Linked DNA regions of Arabidopsis thaliana. The protein of the gene in region 2 interacts with the protein of the main gene of each other region in a pairwise test. Each region holds a gene or a part of one and is shown on either strand. Other genes may lie near its edges.

Region 1 (8,061 bases), 6.8 Mb from region 2:
GAAAAGAGGAACAATAAGGAACATGTTGTTCCTATCCATTCCTTTCCTAAAAAGTAGTCACCAATCGAAGCCTATCTTTCAATAGCATACCTTCTTGATTAATTGCTTCTATAAAAAAAATCAAGATCGTTTTAATTAATCTCTATATGTTTACAAAAATTAACAATTCTGAATTGTTAAAAGCATTATTTCAGAAGAAAAAGATGATGAATATAGAATTGGTTAGGTAATCCAAGATATTCTGACATTCACATGAATCACATGGATCACTAGATGCTATATGTCATCATATTTTCTTCTTCTTTGGTTTTTCCATAAAACCTTTAGTTGGATAAATAATAATTGGAAAAAAAAACATCACGATATTGTTTTCTAGTTAGCTACTTTTTTCTAAAATTTGAACTACCACCATAGAACATGGTATTTTATAATCTATACCATTCATGGGTCCTATGTGACTTAAAACGGTTAAAAACATATTAACAGTAAAAAAGCGCGGAAAATAGTACAACACTGTAAAAAAAAAAGTGGTAAGCAAAAGACATTCACAAACAAAACTTGGTTTTGATTGCAGCTAAAAATTCGGTTTGGATTGGTAACTTGTATCGTATGATGAATCAAGTGAATTAGTTTTATGGTCTCTACAAGTAATAATTTATTATCTTCTGTACAGTCACTTGAAAAGTAGTTAAGCATTAAGGGACATATTTTGGATACTTGTGTGTATCTACATTGTACAACAAATTGAAAAACAGAAGAAGAAAGAAACAGGTTATCTATTATGTTATCTATTATGCAACGTGATCATTGTGGCCAAACTAACGTCTACATCATTCGCAATACAAAAGAAACTTGAATCTATGATTCTGTTCATTGATGAACAAAACATAAGTGATGTAATAAAACTCTTAGTAAGATAGACAAGAATCACAGTACTTATTCGGCAGCCTCTTCCATCACATGTTCCGCGGTGATTGGAGCCACGGGGTAATAATGGTAATGTAGCTCGCCAACGTCGTCTCCAGAGAGTTTCGTCCATCCTTGCGGCCCAACGTGGTACACTGATCATACAGATTTAAGAAAGTTTAATACAAAATTTAAAGGAAAAGGATCACAAGATGATGATGTATTGGCAGAAGAAGTAAGGATTGATCTTTACCGCTAGCAACTCCACCACTAGCTCCATCACGGAATGTAGCATGGTAGATGGATCTCCTTGCTAACTCTGAGGCTTCTTCAACCGACATATCGAATTTGTATCTGTTAACAAAAAAAGAACCATAAGATTGAGTGGTTATAATAGTAAAGCAAGATCTAGTTTTGGTTTGGGCTTTGACTAAAAGAGAAGTAGGGCAATGATGATATCTTGAAATAGATACGTACCCGCTGTCCAGAACACCATAAGCGTATGGTGAACCTGAACCGACAGAGAATCTGTCTCCCTTAAGCCGTCCTCCTTCGTTGTCAACATAGTACAATCCAGGGCCCTATTTCAAAAAAGATTACAATTTTAGCATCTCGACTTTCGCTTTGGTGAGTGAAACTACAGACCGAGAAGGAAATAACAGTTAGGATATAAAGTTTAGGGTACTGACTGTTTCATCCCATCCAGCAATCATTGTGCCAACAGAAAGTCCCATTCCACGATATGAATAGAGCATGTTAGCAAGAAGCTTTGAAGCTCCTGAAACAGAGATTCTCCTTTTGTTTGCCAGCTCATGTAGACGGCACTATGATACACAAATAAAACACTCTCTATCAGGGTCATAGTTTCAACATAATCCAGATTTGGTATACAAGTTAGCAATCAAACTATTAGGATAAAACTGGGACTAGATTTTGGATACAAGAAATCAACGAAACCATTTGTATGCCCTTGAATACAACAACTCAAAACAAAAAGATTGATGCATAATGATATATAAATGTTTAGTTCACAGTACTGAGAAGCTAAAGCCACCACACCACGCAGAAAAATACATTACTAAAATTGAAAGAGACACACGTTCTTAGGTCACCAAACAGATAATAAAGACTATTCTTATTCCAGGAAACAGACGGATACAAAACGTTTTTAAGTCTCTAACAAATGACTCAACAGCTTTCGGATATCAATACATTAGCTATATGAAGTTATGAACAAAGGGAAGGTAAGAAGTAACCGGATTGCCACAGCAAGGAAGATAACTGATAGACCCAATCATCAATTCAGAAAGCTAACAAAAACTAACGTTAGGGTACCTTAATTCCCAGATTTCTGTGCCAGAATTGACAATCAGCAGCACCACCAGCCATTGTACCAAGCATATAAGGATTAATTTCAATAATCTTCTTCACAGATTGCGACGCTGAATGGAAAAACACAAACAAAACATCAGCAATCACAGAAATTTCTCCTTTCTTTTACTGTACAGTATCACTGGCCAACACAACAAAGATTAGAAATTTCTATAACAAGAATCTAACTCATTCTCCATTTTTAGGATCCTTTAGAGAGCTCACAACTAAAACACAAACAGAAATCTGAAATAAACATAACAAAAGAGAAACATACAGATATATCCTCCCATGCTAGCTCGAGAATCAGCAGCTACCATAACACCTTCCTTAAAGATAAACGCAAGTGTAGTTGTACCCTTTGCAGGCTTCACCATCTCCACAGCTTTTTTCTGAAACCCATCAAACTAAAAAACCAACAACAAACAAAAGCAACATATCACAATCAAATAAAAGCAAAATCAAAGTATATTGGAATCCGAAAGAACTCTAATTTCGTAACTAAAACTCACATCAGTGGTACGAGGAAGATCAAACGAAGGTGCAGACGAAAACCCATCAAGCATCTCACTGTTTGATCCAAAGCCAATCACAGGCATAGTTGTCTCCAATCCACTAGTGTCAAGCTTCATTGTCAAATTTCTACAGAATCATCGAATACCCACAATTATTCAATAAAATTATGCAAAATCATGAAGCTTGAGAGGTACCCAAATCAGGGTATTAACAAAAAGAGCTTCCTTTCACAATTCAAATCGGATCTAGCACGAGATTACTTTTGTACGTGTGTGTATAAACCATAAACCCTAATACTTCATTGTAAAGTCAAAGTAACGACAATTAGGGGCCTGAGACATACCTGAAGAGCGAAATCGAGTAGAAAATTAACGAAGCAGAAGAATGTGTGAGAATTGGAGAAAAGAGAAGCAAATTATGGAGGGATGTTTCTTGAGCTCTGGGCAAACCGAATGCGAACGGGGCAAGATATGGGCGATCGGGTCGGGTTGAATCATTTCGGGTCATACCGCTTAAGTTTAAAGACAGAACAGTGTTCATTATGTTGGGCTTCATGGGCCATTATTGGCCTTTTCTTCTTTTTTTTTTTTTTTAATTTCCTTGGTTATATGAATATTAGGTATATAACTTTTTATTAATCATTTGTTATTCAAATAAATTTAGTAAGACAAGTCAAAATATTTGGATCAAATTTATCAGGTATTATTCGTTTATTATTTTATTTTATTAGTTGGAATAAAGTGTTATTTTAATCAAATTTTTATGGATTTTACATTGGACTTTAACAGATTTTAAAATGTTTATGGTTAAACATACAAGAGAAATTGCCTCATATAGCACCATATCAAGATTTTTGGTTCATATCTAAAAGTTAAAAAATTTAATGTTAATGTTTGGTTTTAAAATCAACAAGGCATTCCAAATCCTATGTGCATTCAAAATTAATAAACACCTCCTTAAACTTAAATATTAGATAGTATTCTTCTCTTTCCGTGTGAAATTTATAAAGTTAAAAGTCTTAAAACAGCCTCTTAAGTTTGGAACATTCTAGTTTACAAAAACTAACGACGCAATTAAAAAATGATTAAACAATTAACGATTCTTGTAGACTTGTAATACCAATAAATACAGAAGATTAATTATTTCTAACAGTGGCAAAAAAAGGTAAAAGAAAAAAAATGAGCAAACGCAATTGCAAAATCGCTAGCGTTTGGTATTGCATCTTCTAGCTCGCATAGCTCCTAAAGGAGGACCATTCAATGAAACGCTGCAATGAGTATGCAACTTATAAGAGTACCTAAACAATGGTCCTATATGCGAACGTGCATGAAACATTCCTCTCAGGTTCAACAAAACCGGACCTGTTTCAATCTGACGCTGCAGCTCCCGGCTCTGCGTTGCCTGAAGCTGGACCTGACTGCTCACAAGATGAACATTCGCAAACATTGACGTTTTCTTAGGAACCTTGAAAGGTTCAATGTATTGAGTTGCTATGAGTGTGTTGTAATAGTAAAGCTCGAATGTCACATAGCTAAACTCCACACTACTTTTCTTGCTTGGGTTTGTGACGTTTGCTAAAATGGTTAGATCACCGTTTAGAAGAAAACCCATGTCGAGATAAGCAGCGTTTAGGTTAGCAGCTGAGATGTCGACGTAAGGTGAGCGAGGACGGTAGACGAGGTAAACGATTAGGATGATAAGACCGCCGAGAATAAGAATGACCCAGAATATTGCACAGCAAAATGCAGCTGACCATGTCATTGCGTTTGTCTCTCTTGAGGGTGGTGGTAACCGTGGGCCACGGCGGTGATGCGGGGATGGTGTTGGAGCGGTTCTCCATGGACTTGGTTTGGGTATTGGAGGTAATGTTGATCCATAACCCCCTCCGTTGCGTTGTGGTGCTTGTGGTGGTGGAGGTCGTTGTTGTTGATTATCTTCAGGGCTTAATAGCAATGGTCTTTTCGATGAGTTTTGAGTTTTTCGTGGTGGAAGTCTCTCCTCTGGGCTTAATGGTACAGGTATTACAGAATGTTTCGGTTCTTGGATTGGATTTTCACGGTGGCGACCACGAGTCTTGATTAGGATTCCTGGTGGAGCTACTGGGTGAGGTTGCGTGGTTTTGTGGTGCGATTTTTTTGGGTGCGGAATGGGCGGGATGTGTGGTTGGTTCGAAGATGTTTGTGAGGTAGAAGCACCACCGCTTTTGAGATGTGGATTCTGCGATGGAATTCGCGCAAAATGAGGGTTAGTTTCATGGTGATGATGATGAGACATTTAGATGAAGAAGCTAAAAAGCATCAAAGGAAACTAAGTTAAGTAAGACTTGAGATGAAAGAATGAGAACAGAGAGATTTTGAACTGTTTTAAGTTTCTAAATGAGATAGAGAGAGGGAGAGAATAACTTGGTGACAAGTTCAAGTAAGGATTCTTTGTTGTAGAAAACAAAATAAAGAAGGAAAGTGATAGCACGAAGCAAGTAATCTTTGTTGTAGATTCCTTGCACTAAAATTAAAATCAGTTTCTAATCTCATGAAAAAGTATAAAAACATTCTCTGTATCTTTTTCTCATTCAAAAGTTTTTTTAAGAAAATTGTAATTACTCGGTCCAATTTATCTAAAACCCAAATAAAAAGATCTCGATTTTAGGAGAGACAGGGTTAAGGACTTACAGTAACAGTCATGAATATGTCAATCTTTCTACTTCAGCTCACTCCAGGGGAAAGATGTTGATTCTCAGAGCAACTTACGAAAACTTGTCGAATATGTCAGTAAACTATGAACATGTTAAGATATGTCTCCCATAGATCAAGAAGGCCGCAGATTAGTTAGCGCAAATCTGATGCGAAACACGTTGCTTCTGCAGGTAGATACTCTGTTCTCTGCTCAATTTCTGCAGCATCAAACATGAAACCAACTCTGCAATGCCGGTTACTGCAAACGTTGACAAAGACAACTACCAATCGAGCCTGACCAAACAGATACTAGTAAAAAAGCTGGAAGCAAACTGAAAACTAAACCCATACAAAAGGTATTTTCCACGATCTTCGGTGCAATTGTTCTTCCTATATCTCTTATCCCCATTCTTTGGCATGGCATGGTATATAGTAACATGAATATACATAAAATGAAAGTGTAAACGCCTGGAAAGAGCTAACCTACGCTTTACACGCGAAGAAAGCAGAACAATCTCAGAGTAATCATGGCCGGAACAAGAAACACAATTCAAGCACAGAGACCCACAGAACACAGTCATACAGAGTGCAGGAGAAGCAACGCACTTGCCCTGAAACAACTTTCAATACATGTACTCCTAAGATCTGATGTTCTTTCTCAAGATCATTGAAAACTTACGAAAGAGAAGCCATAGAGTAAACAACTAATCAAATCCAAAATTCCAATTCCACATTGATTCAACTCATCAAAAGTTCAAAATGTAAAACTGTGTTATATCACACACAGATACTAGTACTGATCAACATAGCAGCACTCTTGCTTCACCTCAGCTCTCATAAACCTCTGCAAAGAATAACAATAAGAAATACGCAAGATCTTACTAAACTAAACAACACCATTAAAACCCTAAAAAATGTGAAGCTTTTGAGAAAAATCAGAAAACATTACCTGACTTTCTTGATGAGGATTGATTGGAGTTTTCGAGCAAAGTCAATGGATTTGATTCTGCGTTCAAGATTCTTCCTAGCGAGAACCTTCTTCTCCGAATTCTTAATGTGATGAGTCTGAGTCCCTTTGATCAGCCTCTCCATTCCACTCGATTGCATCTTCTTCTGCAAAATCGTCAGTGCCTTGTCTAAATCATTGGAGAACACCTTCACTCTTATCCCTCGCTCTTGCTGCAACTGCTGGTTTAGACTCGGACGAGTCACCAACCCCGTAACTCGCTTCGCTATCGTGTTCATCTCTTTTACTTGTTTTCTGAAAAAGTATGTTTCTGAAAACGTAAATGAGATTGACGAGAGACAGTGATAGGATCTGAATTCGACTTACCGGTCGGAATCTCGCCGGAGAGAATCAAAGAGCCAATTTGAGTGATGATGGAGAATGTCTAGGTTAAAAAAGAGGCGATGGAGGAAATGAGATAAAAACCAGAGAATTTACTAATATAGGGGTGGTTATGTAAGTTTTATGAGATATAGGGATGTTTTTGTAAATATCCTTAAATCTAATCTTCTGTTTGATTCAGAGAGTATTGACTTTAAAGAAGAACATTCAAGCCTTTCAAAAAAAAAAAGCTTCTTTAATTTCTCTCTCTCTCTGTGGAGTGTTCGAATCTCCAAGCTCTCTCTCAAATGGCAGCGTCCACATAGTAGAGCTGAAGAAGCACTGTATCTATCTACAGAGAAAGTGAAGAGGAAGAAAAGGAAGAGAGGATATAGAAATTAAGCTGGCGACTTTTAGTCCGAGGCGAGCAATGGCAGAGTTACGGCACTCGAGCTCTCTCGGTAGCCGATCTTCTTCTTCTCCGTTACGTGCCGCCGGAGATGAGGATTCTTCATCGCCTCATGTACACGATCACTCTCCTAACGGCGGAGACGACGAAGATGGTCGCCCACGTCATCCTTCTAGAGATCGAGACCGTCCGATCTGGTTTCACTCTTTGTTTCCTTTCTTCGGTGATGATCCTAGGGTTTCTCCTCAGAAGAATAAAATCTCGCTTCTATTGATTTTGATTCTCGCTATTGCTAGCTTGATCTCAGTTTATGGGATTATTAATCACTTGGTAAGTCTCTTCCTTCGATCTAGGAATTGAGATCTTCAAGGCTCTATGTTCTAACTGTGGAATCGATTTGGAAAAGTATTTAGCTTTGTTTTGAGTAAAGGGGTTTGTTTATTTAGGTGGATTTGGATTGACATTGTTCTCAGACTAAGATTGCTTCTATGTCTATCTTCTGCAGAATGCTCCTTATTTATGTAAAAAAGATGGGATTGTGCTAAACTGTCCTCATGTAAGTGTTTGAAAACTTTGGTTATGTGTTTTGTTGAATGCATAAGCTTTGAATCCTGTAAATTTAATTGTGTGTTGGTTTGCATTTGTAAGGTAAAAGAGTCACCTTCTCCTTGGGAGAATCCTTTATCTGCAACAACTTCTTGGAAGCCTTGTGCTGAGCGGCGGATTGGTGGAATCTCAGGTATTGAAGGGCTAGAGCATTGTCATTTTCATTGTCATGTGTTATTTTTTTTTTTTATTTTTTTTTTTTCGTCGAAACACATTGTCATGTGTTATTGATCTGTCTTTTCGTGAAAGTTCAA
Region 2 (6,944 bases):
GCTTTTTTGTTGTCGTCGTAGTAACTCTAAAAAGCTTCGAGAGAAGAGCCATGTCTAAGAGCTTCTTTAGCTTCAGCCTCCATCCCAAGCTTTAAAAGACAAGCTGCTTGTAAGTAGAGAGCGATCGAAAACTCTGGCGATGCGACCTGAGTTTGCATCGCATCACTTAGAGCCTCGCGGAACATATCACTCATTAGGTAACATAGACACCGTCTGGCTAATACTGTTGGTGATACCACTGGTGCTCCACTCATGAACTGTACATACGGAAAAAATTCATATATCTATATCTATTGTATTTTCTGCTGGTAAAAGATGACGGTTTCTTGATGATTCAAAATGATACCTCTGTGTAGAATTCGATTGCGGTTTCAAAATCTTTAGCACGAAATGCGGCATCTCCGTGCTTCTTGTAATCCATATTCTCTTGCATTTGACCCGTCCACATTTGGAATGAGAACTGCAGCAATATTTTTTTCCTCATGATGAGATATTGAGATGTGTCAAAAGAGATATGTTTCTCAAAAATATAATGTACCTCATTTGTGACCACCACATCATCCTCTCCATACCCGAGTTTCTCGAGTAGTTCGTGCATACCACTTAGATCCACTCTCCAGCATGCTTCTCCGAAAGGGGTCAAGGGCAATGGCTCCTTTGTTGCAGGTTCAGTGTATGATGGAGTCTGTCATTATTAAGTCCCATGTACACATAAGAAAGCCTGCAGAACCCGAAACCTTGGAAGATTTAATGTAGTAATGACTTACAGGGATGTTTTCTTCTTTGACGTTGGGCCATAACTCAGCTCTTTTCTCAAGTCTTGAAAGAGCTGACATAAGAAACTTTATGCTTGGCCTCTCGTCTGGTTCAGGGCGCAAACAGCGGGAAGCTAGATGGATAAGTTCTGTTCTATCCTCATCAGAGAATTGACCATCCAGAGCTGAATCCATTAGCACCAAATAGTTTTTACCACGGAACAGATCAAGTGCCTGAAATGACAGATAAGCTAAAAATCAATGAAACTGCTAAAGATACATTATGTATATACACATTTTGCTTTGTGAGAAGAAAGTTACATGGTTTGGTGGAATATGTCTGCCGCTCATAAGATCCAGTAACAAGGTTCCGAAGCTAAATGTGACACTCTCCGGTATCACAGTACCTAACAATAAAAGTAAAAGAAAAACATCTTTGAGATTTCAGCTGATGAAGTTTTCTCTCAAGAAAATTAAACATAAAACACATACCTAGACGTAAATATTCAGGAGGAGCAAATGCCAAGTTGGTACTATAGCTCTTTCCCTCTCGGCTACACTTCATGAGACCAAAACAAGACAGCCTAGGATTCCCAACCTGTTCCATCACTTTTATAAATAACTTATGATAACATCAAACCGCGTATGAAGTTTCTTACCTTGTCAAACAATATTCTGTAGGTGTTAAGATCGTGATACAAATCTATTCCCCAATCATTACAGTACTCCAAGGCTGTTGCAGTATGTAACGCAACTCTCAACCTCATTTCCCACTTCATTGGTCTTTTCTCCCCTGAAAAACCATTTTAGAGTAAAAACAACTTAGACACAATAATGAAACTCTAAAGTAAAGTTTAAGGCCAAAAGAGATCAAGAACTTGAAATGTTTGAGTCTCACAGTGAAAGAGATGCTTAGCAAGTGTTTCATTAGGCATGTACTCAGCAACAAGCAACCTCTCGTGACCTTCTGAGCAACAACCGATCAAATTGGCCATATGCTCACTCCTACATCTCCCTACAGCTTGTGCTTCCTCCTGAATAACAAATATGCCATATTCAAGAAATTTTCCTCTGCAACAGATCAAGCATAGAACCGAATTGAATCTTTACTAAGTCAAACAGACTTGAAATTTGCCTCCTCTGCAACAAATCAGAATCCAGAACATTGCAACATTCAAGAGAAGTATCACGGAGTTAGTAACCAATAAAGTCAAATCAGATGAATAAGCGATCACTAGTCAAATCTTATACAAAACCAAACAGAGAAGAATCAATAAGTATTGATGGGTAAAGGACACGAACGATGAATTCTAAAGAATCAGGCCATGAAAGCCGTTGAAACCGCTTGACGGCGATCTTTCTTCCGTCGTTGAGCTGGCCTTTGTAGACGATGTTAGGAACCCTCTCGTTGTGCTCCGACACGATGTTGTCGGCGGAGAATCCGTCAGTTGCGACTCTCAACTGTTCCAAGCTGAACTCCAGGAAATTAGGACAAGTACTTCCTTCATCTTCTTCTTTATTATCTGCAGCCAAAACTATTAGGTTAGTTCTCTCGATCATCGTCTTCTTCAGAATCTAATTAACGCATAGGAGGAGTGGCTGGCGAATTCGTTGGATTTTACCTAGATCGTCGATGACGGTGATGGTGGATGTTATCGACGGAGAAGACGATCGACGCCAACGTTTGAAACAAATGCAGCCCATCGCCGGCGACAGTAGTTTCTCCGGTGGAGAAAAACTTTTCAAGTGCTTGGTTAAAAACTCCCGCCTGCAGGGAGAAAATAAATTATTATTTTTTTCTTTTTTGCCTAGCGAATATTGTTGGAAAGTTTTACGGAGAAAGTGGTAAAATAGACCCAAAAATATCATTTATTTATATATCACATAATTAAATAGTTGATGACCAATATATACTTTTTTTTTTTTTGAAAAGATCAACCTTTATACTATTATAAGGATAAAATGTCGACATGATCTATGTATTAATTTAAAGAAAATATTGTTTGCTTGTTCCATTTAAATTACTCGGTATTAGATTAATTTTGAGCATAAACATTACAGGTTTTTATTTTGGTAAATAATCATTAGACTGTTGAGTTTGGTCTTTACTTTAGCCTCAATTTTAAAGTCTATATTCAATGGATTTTGCTTACATACATTTCATTCACGTTTAAACCGAAATTAAAATATCTCATTTAAGTTGTAACCAAAAAAAAAAAAAACAGAAAAATTCTCATTAAAATTAATTTTTGCTAGTTACCGCAGCTTTTCGAGACTGGGTGTGTAATATCCATCACACTAACCTTTTTTTTTTTAATCCATCCATACGTTTAACTACATTTAAGCAAATATCGCTATCAAATCGTTTTGGTATATTTCGCTCATTACTGGCAAAATTCACTCTACAAAAAAAGTCTAGTTTGTAATGGGACGCTCGTTTTTAGGTGACTTATATAAAAATAAATAAATAGATTAAAAAACAAATAAAATCAGTATAGGCCTAAATAAAAGTTAGCTTACGGACCATTTATGATGAAACTTGGGCCCTAATGCAAAGCCCATTAATTTTATCTTTGGAGTCTGAAGTCTCTCCTCTCTGTGCTTTCACATAATCACATTGCATGATTGATCAAATACTCGATTTTCCGTGAAATCTCTTTGAATATTTCGATTCCTTGTTACCATGGCGCTTCATGGGTCTGGAGTTTTTTGTAAAGTAAGCTATAATTCTTCTCTTTGAGATTTACTTCCTTGATTCTTCAGCTCTAATCTATACTTAAATGTTTATCATACGTTTCTCGTAAGTAATCTCGAAATTTAGTCGATTTTCAATAAGAGCCCATTGATATTGGATGATTTATGGTTCATATACAGAGTTCTAATCTTGTCTGGTGTGAGAATTCTTACGGATTAGTAGGTATTGTACTAAGATTAAACCCTAGAAGAAATTCGATCAGAAAGTGTTTGAATTTCAACACTGAGATGTTCAATATCCGAATTTGTTGCTACTCCACTTGATGCAAATGGTTATGTGATTCTATTGTTGTGCTAATATGGCCTTGAATCGTTTGCTCCCTGATAGGTTTCAAACATGGTAGAGATCACTTCTCCGTTTGGTGGTTCCATGAGGCTGCTTCACTTGCCTAAATCTTATCCGATTCACTGCAACATGGTTTCAGCTAGCAATACATTTGGGTCAGCTCATCTCAAGCTGCAAAACAAAGAACCGTGTGAGTCTACTTGATTTTAGTTCGAGCATCTTATCTAGTAGAAGATCTGGTTTTGGATAAGACCGGTTTCTTTAGACTTGGTTCTGATTAGTGTTCTGGTAACATTTGAAGCAGGCTCCCGTTTAAGGCCTTGTCGAGTCAAACGCGAAGAAAATAACCAAACTGCGGATGTTGAAAGCATTTCAATGGATGAGAACACGTTGAAGCAAGATCTCGAGACTGCGGTCCAGGAAGAGAATTATGTGGAGGCAGCTAAAATCCGTGATAAACTAAAAGAGCTTCAAGAAGACAACAAAGCCTCTGTTTTATCAGCCAATTCTCGGTTCTACCAATCTTTCAGAAACGGGGATTTAGCTGCGATGCAATCACTATGGTCAAAATCAGGAAACCCGTGCTGTGTACATCCAGGGGCCAAAGGCATAACTGGTTATGATTACGTGATGGAAAGCTGGGAGCTTGTGTGGATGAACTATGAGTTTCCGTTACTGATTGAGCTGAAAGATGTCGAGGTTCATGTCCGAGGAGAAGTAGGTTATGTAACGTGTATGGAGTTTGTGAAGACGAAAGGGAGTAGTAGTTGGGGAGCTCAGTTTGTGTCGAATGTGTTTGAACGGATCGATGGACAATGGTTTATATGCATTCACCATGCTTCTCCTGTTGATATTTGATCAAAGAATCGAAGAAACGATACACATTTTCAAAACGTTTTATTTTTATATGCGTTTGGAGGTTGCGGTGGGATACATTGGTGGTTTGCTTAAGGGTGATGAAGGACTGTTTTTTATTTCTGAGGTTGGCGATTGGGAATGAAAACGCCACACAAACGAGAAGAGGCATAAGTTGTGACGTTTGTACTAGAAGAGGCACAAAGGATCATTTTATTATAACCAGAGCCTTGTAGATCTGGCAAATCATGTAGACAATGAAAAATGAGAAGAAAAATAAACTCTTTTTATTAGAACCAAGACCTCATGAATCTTGGTCACTCACAAAGTAAAACATAGGAAAAACACATTGAAACAGAAATAGCTTAAAGCTCATCCTTCTTGAGCGCGGATGGACGAACACCTTGACTGAGGAAATCCTTGTAATACTTGCCGGATTCTTTCTCGTAACGTGTGAGGTTATTTTTGAAATCAACGTAGTAGAGTCCAAATCTGTTTTTGTAACCATCTTGCCACTCGAAGTTATCCAACAATGACCATACAAAGTATCCTGTAACATTCACTTTGTCGATGCTGCAGATATTACACAAATGTTTTTATTAGATTCTTCACTACAATTGTTAGTATATCAGATGAAAAGGAAATAGGACATACCAAACAGCTTCTTGCATACTCAAAAGATGCCTCTGAAGATAATATTTCCTGTTATGATCAGCGGTACCAACAGCAACAGAATCTGAGGCCCCTAGTTCTTCTCCATATCCTAAAGAAGAACATCAACATCAATATATTTAGTTCTAAGATAAAATCAACCAAATAATAGTTGACAGTAACAATAGAATCTCTAGTTACCGTTTTCCATGATCATAATTTCCGGATTTGCGTATTTGTCCTTAATGTACTTCAACAGACTTCTAAAACCTCTCGAGTAAACGTTCAATGCAGCGGTCAAAGGCTGAAAATAAAACAGAGGTGAGAATGTTGCATCATAGACAAATGTAGCACATAAAAATTTCAGATTGCTATTAAATTTATACCTTGCTACCAATGGCGTAATTTTGCGCATTCTTAGCTGAAAAGAAGAGATAGGTTTCGATTAGTACCAAAAACAAACATTTTCCCTTTGATTTGTTGCCATTGGTTTTCTTGGTTCGGTTTCAAGTAAGGGCAAAACAAACTTACACTCCCATGTAATAAGAGAATCTTGCATCCATCTTGGTTTTGAAGGATCAGGTTTCTCCAAATGGTTTGAAAACACTGAAGTATAGTAGTTGAGCCCAACGAAATCGGTAGAAGCTTTCAGTTTTGCTTTCTGCTCAGTTGTAAATTTAGGCAATCTATGTCCAACAATGTCTTTCATGATCTGTGGATAATCTCCAAATGTAGTTGTGTCTAGATGCCTACAAAAACCATCAAAATATCGTCATATAAAATTTCAAGATATTTAGTATAGTACTAATTAATTAGGGATGTTATAACTTATACTTACCATCCCAAAATAAAGTCAAGTGCACGGTCGATGGACGCACCGTCTTGTGAATCAGCAAGGTCATGTGCTTCGAACCAAGCAGGACTATGTGCAATTCCGATCTTCCCACCTTTACACTATGGTCATAATTTAACATAATACAAAACAAACTATTTTCAGATCCGAAAGATGATAGATAACTAATTATGATTTATATATGTGATGTACCTTTTCGCATTTCCGGTAAGCTTCAACTGCTTCTGCGTGAGAGATAAGGAGATTGTGAGTGACAAGGTAAGCCTCGTATCCTGATCGTCCGTCTTGGCATTTAGCATTGACGTAAGAAGAGCAACGACCAGGTGCCTTTTTGCCTACGTCATAGCCAGCGTGCGAGAAAACCCATGGCTCATTGAAAGTGATCCAATGTTTCACTTTTCCACCGTATTCTTGGAAAACAAAATCTGCATACTCTCGGAAATCCTTCCTACAATATTGCAAAAAATTGTTGAATATACCATTTATATTCGCATATCAAAGAAAACAAAAAGTGATTGGGGTTCGTTTTCCAACAGAAAAACTTACACAATCCTTTCGCTTAAAAAGCCGCCATATTCATCTTCTAAATCTTGTGGAGTGTCCCAGTGAAAAACAGTAACGAATGGAGTTATACCTAATTACAGAAAAAAATAAAAAATTAGAGAAGTTTAATACGTAAGAGATTATAAATGTTTTTTTTTTCGTTTTTAAGTGATTAATATATGTAACCATTTTTTATGAGCTCGTCGATGAGGTCGTGGTAGAATTGCACACCAGCTTGACTCACTCC
Region 3 (7,412 bases), on a different chromosome or scaffold from region 2:
AATGATTGTTCGTTTGTCTATTTTCTTGACACGTTTGAAAGATTTGATATTTCATTTAACTATTACGTGACATTACTTATATTCGTAATCTGTTATTCTTTTTTTTATGTAAGGGTCTAATTTATTAAATGGAGATTGGGTTTGATTTAAGATTTAGGATTTGTGGTTTAATTTACAATAGTTTGCTTGCAAGTTGTAATAAACAAAGCAACGAATGTAATCTTATAACTAGACACTATGATCTCTCCTCGCCACTTTTCGAAAAGCAAAGCATCATAATTTATAAGGATTATGACGACACATACTAAGCAACGAACGACCTAACAGCAAATAGTGTCTTACTTTTAGTAGGTTACGAAACGTCGGAATTCAACTTGCTCATAAATCATTTCTCCCTAGCTAGTGTAACTATTGACCTTTAATTCGGTTGGATTTTTTTGTTTAAAAGAGTTCCAAAGATTCAGACGGTAAACTTGTTAGGTTCAACTAGAGTTGGTTAGGTCTGCACGACTTTTTTTCAGATTATATATTAAATCTCGATGTTATTTGTGTCGCCTTGACCGATCTTTAGGCTATGGAGAGAAATCAGGATCAGTTTTAATCCGATCCATATTTTACGAATCTTGGCAGGGCCATGGTCGAAAACCTTCGAAAAGTAATGGCTTCGTATGATAGTTAACTAAAATCTAATAAAGATGGGTTAAAAATAGTAACTTTCCGAAGATATTCTTGATGAGTTAAAAATCATTGAATTGCTTAGTTAGTGCTTTGATGAATACTCACGCAAAAGCAATGTGATTTACCAAGATATTCCTGTCTAGTAAAAGCACAATATCAATCTGTCAACAATTTTTAATGAATATTAATTGGTTAATTTCTACGATATACTCGGAAATCCGGATACTCTTCTCTAGCTAGTGAAACAAAATAGTTATTATCTATAAGGAAATAGCTCTTAAATCATGAAAATTTTCTAAAAACCTCCAACACTGAGCTTATGCAAAGAACCTTTTTAGTGATCACATATTAAAAAAGTGGAAAGAGACCAGTATGTGTTCATCATCAATTCATCCTTAGAGAACATTAGGTTATATAGTAAAAGTGAAAACCCAAAGGAAACAGTAAGTAAGAAGTTGATCACGTTCGTGGTCAATTTAAAATGAAGGAAGAGGGTCATTTCTCACAATCATTAGTCATTTCTCACAACGCTAAGCTTATCCGAGATGATCTTTGTAGATAATACTTTATTTTGTTGTCGTTGTTGTAAATTTATACTCCTACTAAAGTCATATGTTTGTTTTTCTTAGAAGGTGGAGAAAATGCAAGTGGGCGATACTCCCAACTGTTAAATCAGCGTAAGATTTAGGTGATATGATTTGATGGAGGTACGTACCACGTACACCGTACAAATGGAAATTAGATAATGTTGGTCAAGGTAGGGAGAGATAATTTTAAAATTTAGAGGAGACAAATAGTCCACGATTATTTATTTTCTAATTTTCCACAAGTAAAAGTACTTTCTAATGTGATTAAAAATGTTCGGTCTAAAACATTTACATTTATTATGAAGGTATTTTTGACCAAACATATAACTTTTTTCTCTTTCAAATACACCAGTATAGCTAATAATATCACATAATTTTGCATAGATATCTACAAACATTAATTTGCTTGTATGATATTGACTTAGTAGCTATTCTTCATATAGTAAACGTAAATATATTTTTTTGGTGAGAATCATATATATAATATCTTTGTTTTCTATGTAACTTGTTTTTTTTTTTTTTTTGGTAAAAAATGTAACTTGGTTTTTCTTTACTTTCTTTGGTTTCTCATATCAAATCAGAGATGTTTACTGTTTTTGTTAAGTAATGTTACTCTAATTAGTGAAAATAGTGTTGAAACGGTAACTCTGAAATCAGAAAGGTATTTTGCAGATCATCTTTGGTTGTATAAACTGCAAATTAGGTTTGAAATCATCTTCTTGACCAAATATTTCGGTAACAAGAAGTCAAGAACTATAATGAGAAAATCAAAAAGCATCTTTCTTTAAGCAATAAACAAATAAATTGACAACAATAATTCCAAATTAATTTATTATTCCTCAGTTAAAATTCAGAAATCTGAATATACAAATTGAAAATAGCCAAGAGAAATATAAATAAGAATCTCTCGACCAGAATCAAAAATATCTAAATTAAAAACTGAGGGCTCCTCTCTCCAAAAAAACTATCTCCTTCATCAAATCTTCATCATTCTGGGACGACGACACTGGCGACAACCAAAAACAATATCAAACCCTAATTTTGCCATCTCCTTCCCAAAAACAAAGTCAAAAATCATTAAAAAAAATAGCAACGAAATTAAATTAAAACTTTCAAAATTAAATCTCTAACCAAAGTTTCAATCACATTCCGTTTGCAAATTTCATTAGCACACAGATTTTTCAGCAATCCCAGGAAGTAACGGACGAGATTCAACGTTGTTCTTCGCCAATCCAACATGACTACACCTCCGGAGATCCTCAAGCGTCGCCGCCGGAGGATTACCTCGTCCAGATGATGATGACGACTCACACCGAGTCACAATCGCAATAATATCCTCAAACAACGATTCATCACAAGGAATCGCTAACGGACCAACGTTAGCGAATCCATACTCTTCCTCAGCCTCAGCTAGAAGCCGTCGGAAAATCGGATGGTTCAAATGCTTAGCACGGACAACGTATCTCCGACGATTCTCACCGACGGAAACAGCAACGTGACCAGGAGGTACATCGGAAACAGGATCGTTGTTGCTAGATCCGATGTGAGCTTTTTTCTGCCATTGTTTAAGCATCTGACGGATCCGAACAACGCTTCCGATCTTATTGTTCTTCCCCATTGATATCGAACAATTGCTTCTTGTGGATTGCTTTTGCGTTTTTTGGCTCGCTTTTCCCCAGAAAATGAAGGGAAAGTTGGAGAGCAAAAAAAAAAAAAAAAAAAAAAGGTTAGAGAAGAGACATTTTTGCTTTAGGCGTTGCTTTCACCAAATTTTGGAATAATACGGCAAGCAGGGGAATATTGAAGGGAGCGTTACGGTATTTAAAGGTTAATCATTTAGGTTTCATTTTGCCCCTCTAACGTTTGCTAAATTACGATTTTACTCTTCTCTATTTATGGTTTTTTGATTTTTTTTCTCTTTTTTTTTCCTTCTTTATCTTATAAATAAAAGATTCATAGCTCTGTTTTTGTTTTCATTCTTTTTAACAAATTTTTTTCAGAAACAAAATTGGTCAACTTTTCATAATTGGTTTGTGTGTATTTTTTTTGGTAAGAATATTGAATTGATGCATATATCAATTTTTTTGTTTTTAATATATAATATCTTACTCAACACATAAAAGAAAATTAATAAATACTCAGATATCTTCTTCTTTATTTGATTTTCCTTAAGAATTTGAAAGAGCAGGCTTTTTACAAAGCCTCAAAGAAAAGCCCATATGGCTTTGGTTTGATGAATTAAGAATTGCTTTTCTCTAATTGTGTGCGCCCGACCCGCTTTGTATCAAGCCGACCCGTTTCGTTTTAAAAATGCATTTTGAGCCACAGAAAAGGGGACCCACCACGAAAAAAATAGAGATTCTCTTCTAAAATATCATCAAAGTACAAAGAATTTAAAGCCGAAAGAAAAATTGTTTAAAAAGATTCGCAGAAAAAAAAAAAAAAAGGGTGAGGCGGTCACTTCACTGACGACGTGTGCTATACATACACAGTCAAATACAACCCTTTCCCCAAATTGACCCCAAAACCAAAAACAAATCAGAAGAAAATTAAAATAAACCTAAAAGAGCAAATTTTTATTCGCATTGCTCTCAAAAATCATCCATGGCGGCCACCTCTAGCATCTCTTCTTCTCTATCTCTCAATGCTAAACCCAACAAGCTCTCTAACAACAACAACAACAATAAGCCTCACCGTTTCCTCCGTAATCCCTTCCTTAACCCCTCCTCCTCCTCTTTCTCTCCTCTTCCGGCTTCTATCTCCTCTTCTTCTTCTTCTCCTTCGTTTCCGCTCAGAGTTTCAAACCCTCTTACCCTGTTGGCGGCAGACAACGATGATTATGACGAGAAGCCTCGGGAAGAGTGTGGAGTTGTCGGAATCTACGGTGACTCAGAAGCTTCACGACTCTGTTACTTAGCTCTCCATGCGCTTCAGCATCGAGGTCAAGAAGGTGCAGGTATTGTTACCGTTAGTAAAGATAAGGTTCTTCAGACCATTACAGGTGTTGGTTTGGTCTCTGAGGTTTTCAGTGAATCCAAACTCGATCAATTACCAGGAGACATAGCCATTGGTCATGTCAGGTACTCGACTGCTGGTTCTTCTATGCTCAAGAACGTTCAGCCGTTTGTTGCTGGTTATCGATTTGGCTCTGTTGGTGTTGCTCACAATGGCAATTTAGTGAATTACACGAAATTGAGAGCTGATTTAGAGGAAAATGGTTCGATTTTCAATACTAGCTCTGATACTGAGGTTGTGCTTCATTTGATTGCCATTTCTAAAGCTAGACCCTTTTTCATGAGAATTGTTGATGCTTGTGAGAAGCTTCAAGGTGCTTATTCGATGGTGTTTGTGACTGAGGATAAGCTTGTTGCTGTTCGTGACCCACATGGGTTTAGGCCTTTAGTTATGGGTAGGAGAAGTAATGGAGCTGTTGTGTTTGCTTCTGAGACTTGTGCTCTTGATTTGATTGAAGCTACTTATGAGAGAGAGGTTTATCCTGGTGAGGTTTTAGTTGTGGATAAAGATGGTGTCAAATGTCAGTGTTTGATGCCTCATCCTGAGCCAAAGCAATGCATTTTCGAACATATTTACTTCTCGTTGCCTAATTCGATTGTCTTTGGTCGGTCTGTGTATGAGTCTAGGCATGTCTTTGGTGAGATTTTAGCTACTGAGTCACCTGTTGATTGTGATGTGGTGATCGCTGTGCCTGACTCGGGTGTTGTGGCTGCTCTTGGTTACGCGGCTAAAGCTGGTGTAGCGTTTCAGCAAGGTTTGATTAGGTCTCATTATGTTGGAAGGACTTTCATTGAGCCGTCTCAGAAAATCAGAGATTTTGGAGTGAAGCTGAAGCTATCGCCAGTCCGAGGAGTTTTAGAAGGGAAAAGAGTTGTTGTTGTTGATGATTCGATTGTTAGAGGAACAACTTCGTCCAAGATTGTGCGTTTATTGAGAGAAGCGGGTGCGAAAGAGGTTCACATGAGGATCGCGAGTCCTCCTATTATTGCATCTTGTTACTACGGAGTGGACACGCCTAGCTCAAATGAGTTGATATCGAATAGGATGAGTGTTGATGAAATCAGGGATTACATCGGATGTGATTCCCTTGCGTTTTTGTCGTTTGAGACGTTAAAGAAACATTTGGGGGAAGATTCTAGAAGCTTCTGCTATGCATGCTTCACGGGGGACTATCCGGTGAAGCCTACAGAGGATAAGGTGAAGCGAGGAGGAGATTTTATCGATGATGGTCTCGTTGGAGGAATCCACAACATTGAAGGAGGTTGGGTACGGTAGATAGCAGATATTCAAGTTCTGCATTATGATGATCAATTTTGGGTACTAATGGAGTAAGATGATGACGATATCTTGTTGAATTTTGTGTTCCATTTGACCTTAATTGCTGGCACATTTTTACTATTTTATTGAGTCTGGGATGGATTAAGATTTAAGGGTTGTTCTTGTCTGAATCTTTGAAAGGTTTTGTTTACTTTTGTCTCGTTAAGAATTCAAATCTTCTCTCTGTTTTCATTGCACTTTACTTAATCAGAAAATGTAATGGGTGATGTGGTATATGAGAGACATCTCTCTATTTACTAAAATTTGATTCGGTTATCGATTTGGTTATTTCGGTTGAATATGGTTTGAACTATTCCACGTCACCGTAGATGGTGCCAAATGACAACTATACCCTCAGAACAATGGATAAATTTGTTCTGTTTCGTTACTTCCTCAAATCCAAACACACAAAACAGAGGAATTTACGAGATTAAGGAACCATTGTGACGATGCCTAAGTTTCTACACACCCATCAATCTCACTTCTTCTTCCTCCATCATCAGACATTGTTGCTTGGATATTGAGAAGCTAGTCTTAGGTAGGTAGGTTCCTATATGAGTTTGAGTAAACGACGGTGATACATTTGAGTGTTGTTCAGCTAAACAAGCTTTTGAATGGTGAGCTTGTCTGTTTCAAATATGAGATACACGAAAGTTAGAGTAAGCCGACTAGATAAGCCATTGACATTTTGACCATGTCATTACAAACGGAAGCAGAGCAACTGGTTTATGGGGGCTTGTGCTTGTGGCGAGTTCTACGAAATTTTTGCTTGGAAAGGTAGTGATACGTTTAGGAGATGTGTGTGTTGTGTTGTGAATTTGCTTGTAGTTTGAGTAAGATTGTGCTAGTGGCATATTTTTCATTCTGTTTCGAGCATTATGTTAATACATGACTAGGTTTGACTTTTATAGATTTGTGTTACTTTACAAGGCTTGTTTTGTTGATGTTCCATCTCTTTCAACAAACACTCTAAATTGTGATTTGTGAACATCAAATAAATTACGTAGGTAGTAAGAAACATATTTGTTCTTGTAACGGTAACTTAATTTGACTTTTTGTTACATTGATCAATTTCCTTTTCTTCGCAAAACATAGAAAAAAGAGACAATTTCCTTTTTTCAATGGAGCGTTTGCTTATAAATACTCCAACTCTCGTATCTTCTTCTTCGTTGAGAAATCAAAATACCATCTTTTATCTTCTTCTTCTTCTTCTTCTTCTTTCTTTTTCATACCTGCAATTTCCCTGAGAGACTGATCACTGATGTGCTTTCGTTCTCTCGTGACAACAATCTTCAATCAATCGAGTTCACTTTTTAGTTCGTGACTCCCTAATTTCACACGATCAAAGATCTCGCCACCGAAACGCTTTCACCGAAGGATTCTTTCAACGGCGGCGAAGGAGATGATTACACGACGGAGAAGGATGCGCGGAAGACTATGGCCAAGAGAGGGATAGTGAAATTAACGACCAGTTGGCAGATTCGTAGGCTTTAAAACTACAATTCGACTGCGGAGGAAGAAGACAAATTTGTGTTTCATCGATCGATCGATAATCATCACCAGCGAGAACCAAGGTTTGCGCTTTCCTAATTTTCTTTTTCTTTAATAAAAGATTTTAAATTTTATAAGATTTTTTTTCTTGTGTTTCTTTTTTTAGATTTTTTTTTTGTTTTGATACTAAATCTATGTAAAAAATGTATATGGAAAACTAACCGGATTTTGGAACCAGGTTCGGTCGTTAGCGATTTCAAAAATTCAACTTGTTTTCATATCTTTATATAGATTTGGTATCGAAGGTTTTTGTTCGGACTTTTA
Region 4 (8,718 bases), 2.5 Mb from region 2:
AAGTTTGGGTTATGAGATGGTATTTAATTAAATCTAGTCTATTAATGACAGCAAGTATTTAATTATTTAGCCTATAATTGTTTTACGTTTACATTCTCCTAAGTCCTGAAGGCCTTCATCAATTTGTTTCCCATATTCACATGAGAAAATGCTAGTTTGGTGTGTCATTAACTAAGCTCATTTGCTCTCTTGTTATACACAAGTCAAACTTGGGATCAAACTTGTCTTGATTCCTAAAGAAAAACGACAAAATCAATTAGAATTAGTTGTCGAGTCATTCCGTCTTAATCTTGTAAATTTTCCTATAAATGAATGAATTTTTATGTATATATAGACAATAACTCAAAATACATATGGATAATAACTCAAATAAAAGAATGGGAAGGCCACATGTTGTGGTCATACCTTACCCTGCACAAGGTCATGTTCTTCCTCTAATAAGTTTCTCACGTTACCTTGCGAAACAAGGAATCCAAATTACATTCATAAACACCGAGTTTAACCATAACCGCATCATCAGTTCCTTACCCAATTCACCTCATGAAGATTATGTTGGGGATCAGATCAATCTTGTTTCAATCCCTGACGGTTTAGAAGATTCACCAGAAGAGAGGAACATTCCAGGGAAGTTGTCGGAGTCTGTTTTGCGTTTTATGCCTAAAAAAGTAGAGGAATTGATCGAGAGGATGATGGCAGAAACTAGCGGTGGTACGATCATTAGCTGCGTTGTAGCGGATCAGAGCTTGGGATGGGCAATTGAAGTTGCAGCTAAGTTTGGGATCAGACGCACCGCGTTTTGTCCTGCTGCAGCTGCGTCTATGGTTCTTGGATTTAGTATTCAAAAACTTATCGATGATGGTCTCATAGATTCTGATGGTAAGAACAAATATAACCTTTTGTTTCAAAATTTAATAGTATCATATTAAGTGATGTTTTTGGAAAATGGTCATGTTTTATTTTATTTGATGATTCATTGGTAGAAGAATTTTGAAAAAGATGCGTTATATAGCTATTGTTTCTTTATGTAGGGACTGTGAGAGTAAATAAGACAATTCAACTATCTCCCGGGATGCCAAAGATGGAAACAGACAAGTTTGTGTGGGTTTGTCTGAAGAACAAAGAATCTCAGAAAAACATATTCCAACTTATGCTTCAAAACAATAACTCGATCGAGTCAACGGATTGGTTGTTGTGTAACTCTGTCCATGAACTTGAAACTGCAGCATTTGGATTGGGCCCGAATATAGTACCAATTGGGCCCATTGGTTGGGCTCATAGTCTTGAAGAGGGATCCACGTCACTAGGAAGCTTTTTACCTCATGACCGGGATTGTCTAGATTGGTTGGACCGGCAGATTCCCGGTTCGGTTATATATGTTGCCTTTGGGAGTTTTGGGGTCATGGGCAACCCTCAGTTAGAAGAGCTAGCAATTGGTCTAGAGCTTACCAAGAGGTAATGATTTGGACATAACCGGGTTTGTGTGTTCCGGTTTACCCTACTTACTCTATGCGTGTCTATTATGTAATAAGTTATGTTGATCCATTCACCAGGCCAGTTTTGTGGGTCACTGGTGATCAACAACCAATCAAACTTGGGTCGGATCGAGTCAAAGTGGTGAGATGGGCTCCACAACGGGAGGTCCTTTCTTCTGGAGCCATTGGGTGTTTTGTGAGCCATTGTGGATGGAATTCAACTCTGGAAGGAGCCCAAAATGGCATACCATTTCTATGCATCCCTTATTTTGCAGACCAATTTATCAACAAAGCATATATATGCGATGTGTGGAAGATTGGATTAGGACTTGAAAGAGACGCACGAGGAGTGGTTCCGAGGTTAGAGGTTAAGAAGAAGATCGATGAGATCATGAGAGACGGTGGAGAGTATGAAGAACGAGCTATGAAGGTTAAAGAGATTGTGATGAAAAGTGTTGCAAAAGATGGAATATCTTGTGAGAATCTTAATAAATTTGTCAACTGGATCAAATCACAAGTGAATTGATAGAGTTTCACAAGAAGAAATGAAATGTATCCAATTCAAGTTTTCAACCAAACATCAAAGAACTTATTAGTATGTGTATGGGAAAATTATGAAGAGAACAAAAAAAACACACACAGAGGATCTCTAGCATTTTTCCAGTAGAGGACAAAGAGTAAATGGTACACTTATTTTACCAGCGATGATGGTAAATTATGAAGATACAGTAAGAAAAACTCAAAAATAATGAATCCATCATCACCTCGTTCTGCTCTCTCCGCCTACGGAATCTCCCCGTGGGCGAACCTTGCGATTCAGTGACCTTTATTTCAGAGCCTTAGTACCGGTTCCAGTAGGTTCTGCGTCTGAATTTGTTGTAGTCTGGCAAATCTTGGATTGGACCAATAGCTGAGATTGCAATGTCCTGCACATAATCCCAAAAATCACCTTAATCACTCTTGACGTTTGTACTCTTGTTTAGCAGTCTAATCCTTGGAGGATAGAGAGAGCAAGAGGGAGAGAGAAATAGAACTTACTTTGTCATAGATATATTTGTTGGCAACACGTTTTACCGTGCTGGCATCAACAGCATCGATCCTAGCAAAGAGTTCAGCGGTTGGGATTCTACGCCCATAGGTCAGCAGCTGCATTTAGAACAAAAATCCAGGCGTTTTATTAGAATGATTTTGAAGATAAACACCAACTATAAGGAAAGTCAAGGTTTGTTATCTTTGACCAATGCATTTATAAACTTATAAGTTCTAAATTAAGATGCTTAAATGATTCATCGCATACCTGACGACCAATATCTTCAGCAATTGGGCTGGTTCCATCCATGTGAAGTAACAATGATGATTTCAGCTGCAGAGAAATTTAAAATCAGTTGGCATTTAAAATCTATCTACAAATAAGTAAGGAGTTCGAAGAAACAGGAGGAAAAGAAAAAAAAAACTTTAAACAGATCACATTTGTAACTAGCTTAAAGCTGAATCTTGGGAAAGAGAGAAAGAACAGTTGGGCGTTTACCTGATTTCGTGCACGTGTCACATCAGCGTCTGAAACTCGGTAGGCCAGCTTGGTTACCTCATACATAATGGCATATGATAAATCATCCAAGCAATCGGCCTGAAAAAAGTACCTTACAAGATGTTAAAAGAGATATAATACGAGGCATTCATGAGATGAAACTGCTAATATTGACAAATACAAGAAAGAGATGAAACTAAGATAGCTATGGAGTTCTGGGTTGACCTTGGCAACTGCATAAACGCCGAACAGTCCAGTATCCTTGTAGTTAGTGTTGAATGCCATTATGCTTTCTGCTATTTCATTAATGGCAACCCTCTGGGTCAGGTCAGAACTGCACATAGAACCATAATGTTCATCAACACATTGCGAAATAGCTTTTCATTAAATCCATCATTAGAAATATTAGCCAGAGAGTAAACTCACCCCACGTGTTTTCCACCACCAACATTTTTGTTCCACGAACCCAACATAGTTTGCATAACCATAAGAGCAACGGAATCTGGATCAGTCCAAGATGCTCCCTCAAAGGCAACAGCAAATTGTGCAAGGGGTAGGTCGTCATCAATCATTCGGACCTGAGAAGAATTTCACGGACTAAAGAATTTAGAAAGATGGAACATTGCATATAACAAAATCATATGGTTGTGTCCTTACCTCAGAACCAGTAAAACTAGCAGGTTCATTGGCAACCAGTTGAGAAGTAGTTGTTGGATCAGACGACAACTTGGTAAATAGCTTCTTCACTTGCTCAACAACTTCCTCATGCTTAACAGCTCCTGCAGCAGCAATCACCTGAAAATGTTTTGGATGAACCAAGATAAGAATCCTAAAAAATTCAATAAGTGATTGTAGGAAATGATAAGAAGTAACCAAAATCTATACCATCCTGGAAGCAGTGTAGTGAGTCTTAATGTAGTTCTGTAGATCCTCTCTGGTGATCGATTTGACGTTCTGAGCAGGTCCCAAAATAGTTCTTCCAAGGGGTGTGTATTGGAATGCAGTGGCATGTAAATGGTCAAGAACCACTTCATCGGTTTGTCCCTCCACCTACGACCAAACCAATTATCAAAAAACTAAAGCTTAATGTGTATTCTATCTTTAACTGATTAAAGAAACAAATAACTCTAACCAACACGTAGAGCAGAGTACCAAGCGCTCTAGTATCTCCCTTCATGCACATTTCCCAACAACAATACGACCAACATATGACTAAGCCAATAAAACCAAAACATGCGAGAGATAATCCAAAAACAGAACAAAGTTTTCATTTTTAGAGCAATGGTTTATATAAACACAATAACATCTCTCTATAGAACATGTGCTTATGCCAATACAACCTTAAAAAAAGGGAAGATAACTTAAGAACATACTAAAGTTTTCATTTTTAGGCAGGCACACGGGAAACTGAAACTAAGGGTATTGATCTAAAAAAACACAAACTACGGTCCATAGTACCACCTCACTAAAAAAAAACGAAAGATAAATCGAGGACAGAACAAAAAGTTTAGTTTTTTAAGTACAGAGATAACAAATACATACCTCTTGCATTTCCCTGAGGATGACATCTCGTTCGCGGTTAATTCTCTGTTCCTCGAACTTAGAATTCTGTAGGATATCAGCCAAGACATCCAAAGCCTGGTTCACATTGGAATCCAAAACCTTAGCATAATAAGTGGTCTGTTCCCTCGATGTATACGCGTTCAGGTGACCACCAATATCTTCGATCTCTTCCTCCAACGCTCTCACTGTACGCCTATCCGTGCCTTTGAATATCATATGCTCCAAAAAATGAGCCGTTCCGTTGGTCTCATCGGACTCAAACCGAGATCCAGCGTCGATCCAGACTCCAACGGTGGCGGTCTTAGCCGAGAGATTTGACTCAGTAGCGACTCGTAGACCATTGGGCAAGGTAGTGACACGAGTCTCCGGAGCTGACAAGATGTGATTGTGGGAAGCGAGGATCGGATGTGGAGATGCGTATTTAAGGAACCTCTTATCAGGATTCTCGAGCTTCTTGATCTTATTTTTTATAATCTCAGCCGCGTGGTCGTATGGCATAAGATGCGGCGGCGGTGGAGATAGAGCCGTCGGAGATGCGGAAGCCGGCACCGAATCGATAGCTGAAAACGAAGAGGAAGATCGTGTGGCTTGAGTGAGGAATAAACGCCTCTGAGATCGGCGAGCTAGGGACAGTAGATTCTTCATCGCCATGGCTGATGATGGCTTCTCTTCGCTCTCTCAATCTCTCTAGGGTTTGATTAAAAAGCCAAAAATGGCAGAGACGACTTGAGATGCGAACTAATAGCCAGTGGTTAAGCGATTATAAAACGACGTCATTTAATGTTACTAATTAAGAACGGTGTCGTTTAGGACATAATACTAGTCAACTGATATAATAAGGCCGTAGTAGGCGCATTATCGTATCAAAGAACATTATTCATACTGGTTAGATAGTAAGGCCGTATGAAGAATTAGGCCCATTAGTGTGGGCTGAGAACGGGTTGGATTTTTTGACCCGGATATGGGGAGAAAACCCTAATCGAAATATCGTGGCCGTATATATAAGTTTTGTTATTGGAGAATAAAAACCCTAGTCTTTGCGGAGAGAGATTCAGCTGCGTTGGGCAAAATCCCAGACGAAGATCAGTGATTAGTCTTTTGATAACTTGAGCCATGGCAACTGGTAAAACTGTGAAAGACGTCTCGCCTCATGACTTCGTCAAGGCTTATGCTTCTCATCTCAAGCGATCTGGCAAGGTTAGTGGATAAAGTCTCTTCTTTTTTGTTTGAGTAGAAATGTTCCAAGCTTTATTTGTATGTACTCGAATAAAGATGGATTAAGCTCAAATTGCAATGATTTCCATTAGTTCATAGATATTTCTGTTGATTGTTGGCATTTCTCTATAATACTTTGAATTGTGTAATGTCTGTTGAATGTATTGAAATTTTGTATATGTTGCTAATATTTATTGAATCACAAGTGTTACTCTTAGTATTTGTTAATAGACAGCTTAAGATTCAAATGCTTGGGATTAATATTGTGATTTGCTTTGTTACGTCTGTTGAATTAATTTACACTAGCAATTACAATAGCTTGAATGTCAAGCTCCACTTTTTACAATTGTTTTGGTTTTCACGAGACCATAATTGTTTGTTTCAGATCGAGCTTCCCACATGGACAGACATTGTGAAGACCGGAAAGTTGAAGGAGCTTGCACCATATGATCCTGATTGGTACTACATCAGAGCTGGTTAGTTCTCTTTCATCCTAGTTTGTCTCTTATTATCTCTATGCGTTTATAAAGTTTTCAATTAGCAAAATGACTTCTTGTGCAGCATCTATGGCAAGGAAGGTTTACCTGAGGGGAGGACTTGGTGTTGGTGCTTTCCGTAGAATCTATGGTGGAAGCAAGAGGAACGGTAGTCGCCCACCTCACTTTTGCAAAAGCAGTGGTGGTATTGCCCGTCACATCCTCCAACAGCTGGAGACAATGAACATTGTTGAGCTCGACACCAAAGGGTAACATTACTACTACTACTACTACTACTACTACTACGTTAGAGGTGTTTCTCTTTAAAAATGTTTTTATGCTAATACTAGTATCACTTTTGTTCTTCTTTCAGAGGAAGAAGGATCACTTCCAGTGGCCAAAGGGATTTGGACCAGGTTGCTGGCCGTATTGCAGTTGAACCTTGAAGATCTTAATGTTCTTTTTTGTTCTTCTTCTACTTTTGAGGCCATTGTGCTTTTAGTGTTTATCTTTACTTTTAAGAATTGTTACCATTTCATTCTCAAGACTTGCGCTCATAATGTTCAAAAATTTATCTTTTTGGCGATGGCTTTGGACATTGAAACTTATGTCTTCAACCGTATTTTTGTGTTCGTCCGATTTAAGGATAATAGGATATGGTTTCTTCATCCCTAAATTGCTAATTTCATCCTTCTTTAGTGCCACTAATCTCACTTTTATGCTTCACTTTTAACCGAAATTTCTTTGAGAGAAGAGAAGCAAAGATTAGATATCTTCATCACATTATATTCTTTGTTGTATTCTCTCCATTCATAGGCAAAGAGATGTCATCTTTCTTCAATATCATAGCTAGCTTTTGGTTTCCTTAGAGATAGCCTCGACCTTTCTTATTCCAAACTAGCAATGATGCTCTCTGTTGCTCTCGGCGGAAGATGTAGCCAGTCCCAACGTACATTGGACTTTGAAGTAGTCCATCCAAAACTCTCATGAATCATGATACTAACATGAAAGTAGACAGTGTTGTAGTTCGTATAACGACATGGTCTGCGGGAGATAAACAGTTCATCTTTCAAATGCACAAGAAGAAATTTCGAAGGACAAAAGGACAAAACTGAATCTTATATGGATAATATGATTTTGGACTGGATAATTCATGGAAATCCAGGTTTCATACCAACCAAAAACTTCCCTTATTGCTTCTGATAAGCTTTAAAAAGGGCCCATCAAATTCAAGAGATTCTCCACTAAGGTTATGGAAACTGTCATATTTTCTTTGTCTCGGTCCGACTATATCATATTCGGCTTTAAAATGTTACAGCTCAAGCGAGTTCGTAAGTAGTATACAGAGGTGTAAAGGAAGAGTTTTCGCGTATGAGACGGTAGACTTATCACAAACTGACTGAAAAATAGTTGAAGGGTCTTAATATAATACATGTATGGTGGCGTGCCTTCTAGAACAACCAATGTTTTCTCTTTGGCTTATGCTGAACTGGAGCAGCTACACTCAAAAAGGAAGATCATAATCAGTGTCATCAAGCACAAAGCCACCATTTCGTTACATTTCCAAAGGACAAAACAAACCTTGAATATCGTATAAAGAGTTATAATGCACCTCTGACCAGAAACTTAACCATAACACTGCACAATAGCAAACATAAAGAGTCACAACTTGTAAAACTGTATTTGTCAGATGTCACTTCATATCAAAAAGCGATATGCGAAAGTGAAAGGAAACTTTTTTTTTGTAGTCTCACCACCCTTAGGTGCTTGGTATTGAGGTATAATTTCAATGAAACAAGTGTCTCTAAAGGATGTCAGCAAGCATATCTTTGCTGCAAACTGCACAAAGGGAGATGCAAAGGAAATTTTGTTAGAAAAGAAAGGAAAATTACTGGCTATTTCTCATAAGCACTAGTCCTAGTCTGTATGTGGTTAAGTTACATGGCCTCTCAGGAAATGTGAAGTGTTAATCTATGTTATGTAAACATCCAAATGGAAAAGAATCACAATTTTGTCTTCTTGAGAACTATAATAGCCATCAGGTGATATGAGAACAAAGCAAAGATCATTATTTAAGGAAACTTACCCTATCTGCCGCAGCTTGTAGGGTAATATGGTCTCCCCATTCTCCAAATCTGTCATTTAAGTAATTATGAGTATGAAACAGAACATTCTCAAACAAACAAAGTGTAGCTTATATGCGTAATGAGAAAAGAATCTGTTTGCAAAACATACTTTCCCATCTTCTTGTAATATCGTTTGTATTTCATCGGAACATAACTTTCATACATAGAACGACACTCTTTGAGCTGCAATAAGAAGAAAAAAGAACAACTAGGAAAATGAGATACGAAGAGAGATGTGAGCACCTAACTTTCAAACAGATATAAGAATAAGTCCAACTGCTACAATGGATTAATAATGAACATAAAACACGATCATATAGTAGATGGCTGCCTTTGTT

The links.
Region 1: the proteins of AT3G09250 (region 2) and AT3G26340 interact in a two-hybrid assay, tested with the Arabidopsis thaliana proteins (one large-scale study listed by BioGRID).
Region 3: the proteins of AT3G09250 (region 2) and ASE2 interact in a two-hybrid assay, tested with the Arabidopsis thaliana proteins (one large-scale study listed by BioGRID).
Region 4: the proteins of AT3G09250 (region 2) and MPPBETA interact in a two-hybrid assay, tested with the Arabidopsis thaliana proteins (one large-scale study listed by BioGRID).

Annotation. Positions count from the first base shown.
Region 1 is NC_003074.8:9,649,664-9,657,724, forward strand, and holds AT3G26340 (N-terminal nucleophile aminohydrolases (Ntn hydrolases) superfamily protein), read right to left. Parts: upstream 3,274-8,061; 5' UTR 3,137-3,273; intron 2,920-3,136; 5' UTR 2,910-2,919; coding exon 2,790-2,909; intron 2,685-2,789; coding exon 2,555-2,684; intron 2,349-2,554; coding exon 2,242-2,348; intron 1,731-2,241; coding exon 1,596-1,730; intron 1,488-1,595; coding exon 1,384-1,487; intron 1,261-1,383; coding exon 1,160-1,260; intron 1,062-1,159; coding exon 937-1,061; 3' UTR 653-936; downstream 1-652. Other genes in the region: AT3G26350 (proline-rich receptor-like kinase), read right to left, coding at 3,997-5,067; AT3G26360 (Ribosomal protein S21 family protein), read right to left, coding at 6,300-6,309, 6,415-6,710; AT3G26370 (O-fucosyltransferase family protein), read left to right, coding at 7,223-7,531, 7,707-7,757, 7,850-7,940. UniProt on the Arabidopsis thaliana protein: The proteasome is a multicatalytic proteinase complex which is characterized by its ability to cleave peptides with Arg, Phe, Tyr, Leu, and Glu adjacent to the leaving group at neutral or slightly basic pH.
Region 2 is NC_003074.8:2,835,642-2,842,585, forward strand, and holds AT3G09250 (Nuclear transport factor 2 (NTF2) family protein), read left to right. Parts: upstream 1-3,358; 5' UTR 3,359-3,438; coding exon of another isoform or gene 3,439-3,471; intron 3,472-3,612; exon of another isoform or gene 3,613-3,837; coding exon of another isoform or gene 3,838-3,846; coding exon 3,847-3,985; intron 3,986-4,099; coding exon 4,100-4,613; coding exon of another isoform or gene 4,614-4,653; exon of another isoform or gene 4,654-4,714; coding exon 4,715-4,777; exon of another isoform or gene 4,778-4,919; coding exon 4,920-4,944; 3' UTR 4,945-4,973; downstream 4,974-6,944. Other genes in the region: BSK9 (kinase with tetratricopeptide repeat domain-containing protein), read right to left, coding at 27-257, 347-460, 539-685, 768-989, 1,077-1,162, 1,248-1,353, 1,415-1,548, 1,654-1,789 and 2 more; PYK10 (Glycosyl hydrolase superfamily protein), read right to left, coding at 5,016-5,223, 5,305-5,413, 5,503-5,605, 5,688-5,722, 5,833-6,050, 6,140-6,255, 6,347-6,602, 6,701-6,788 and 1 more.
Region 3 is NC_003075.7:16,573,037-16,580,448, reverse strand, and holds ASE2 (GLN phosphoribosyl pyrophosphate amidotransferase 2), read left to right. Parts: upstream 1-3,695; 5' UTR 3,696-3,869; coding exon 3,870-5,555; 3' UTR 5,556-5,905; downstream 5,906-7,412. Other genes in the region: AT4G34750 (SAUR-like auxin-responsive protein family), read right to left, coding at 2,431-2,883. UniProt on the Arabidopsis thaliana protein: Catalyzes the first committed step of 'de novo purine biosynthesis from glutamine. Required for chloroplast biogenesis and cell division.
Region 4 is NC_003074.8:362,120-370,837, reverse strand, and holds MPPBETA (Insulinase (Peptidase family M16) protein), read right to left. Parts: upstream 5,290-8,718; 5' UTR 5,215-5,289; coding exon 4,543-5,214; intron 4,051-4,542; coding exon 3,886-4,050; intron 3,796-3,885; coding exon 3,658-3,795; intron 3,579-3,657; coding exon 3,427-3,578; intron 3,335-3,426; coding exon 3,226-3,334; intron 3,100-3,225; coding exon 3,001-3,099; intron 2,836-3,000; coding exon 2,770-2,835; intron 2,619-2,769; coding exon 2,507-2,618; intron 2,399-2,506; coding exon 2,304-2,398; 3' UTR 1,999-2,303; downstream 1-1,998. Other genes in the region: AT3G02100 (UDP-Glycosyltransferase superfamily protein), read left to right, coding at 354-876, 1,029-1,452, 1,551-1,998; AT3G02080 (Ribosomal protein S19e family protein), read left to right, coding at 5,677-5,760, 6,164-6,254, 6,340-6,523, 6,628-6,700; AT3G02070 (Cysteine proteinases superfamily protein), read right to left, coding at 7,706-7,752, 7,836-7,892, 8,009-8,093, 8,341-8,389, 8,490-8,563. UniProt on the Arabidopsis thaliana protein: Catalytic subunit of the essential mitochondrial processing protease (MPP), which cleaves the mitochondrial sequence off newly imported precursors proteins. Preferentially, cleaves after an arginine at position P2.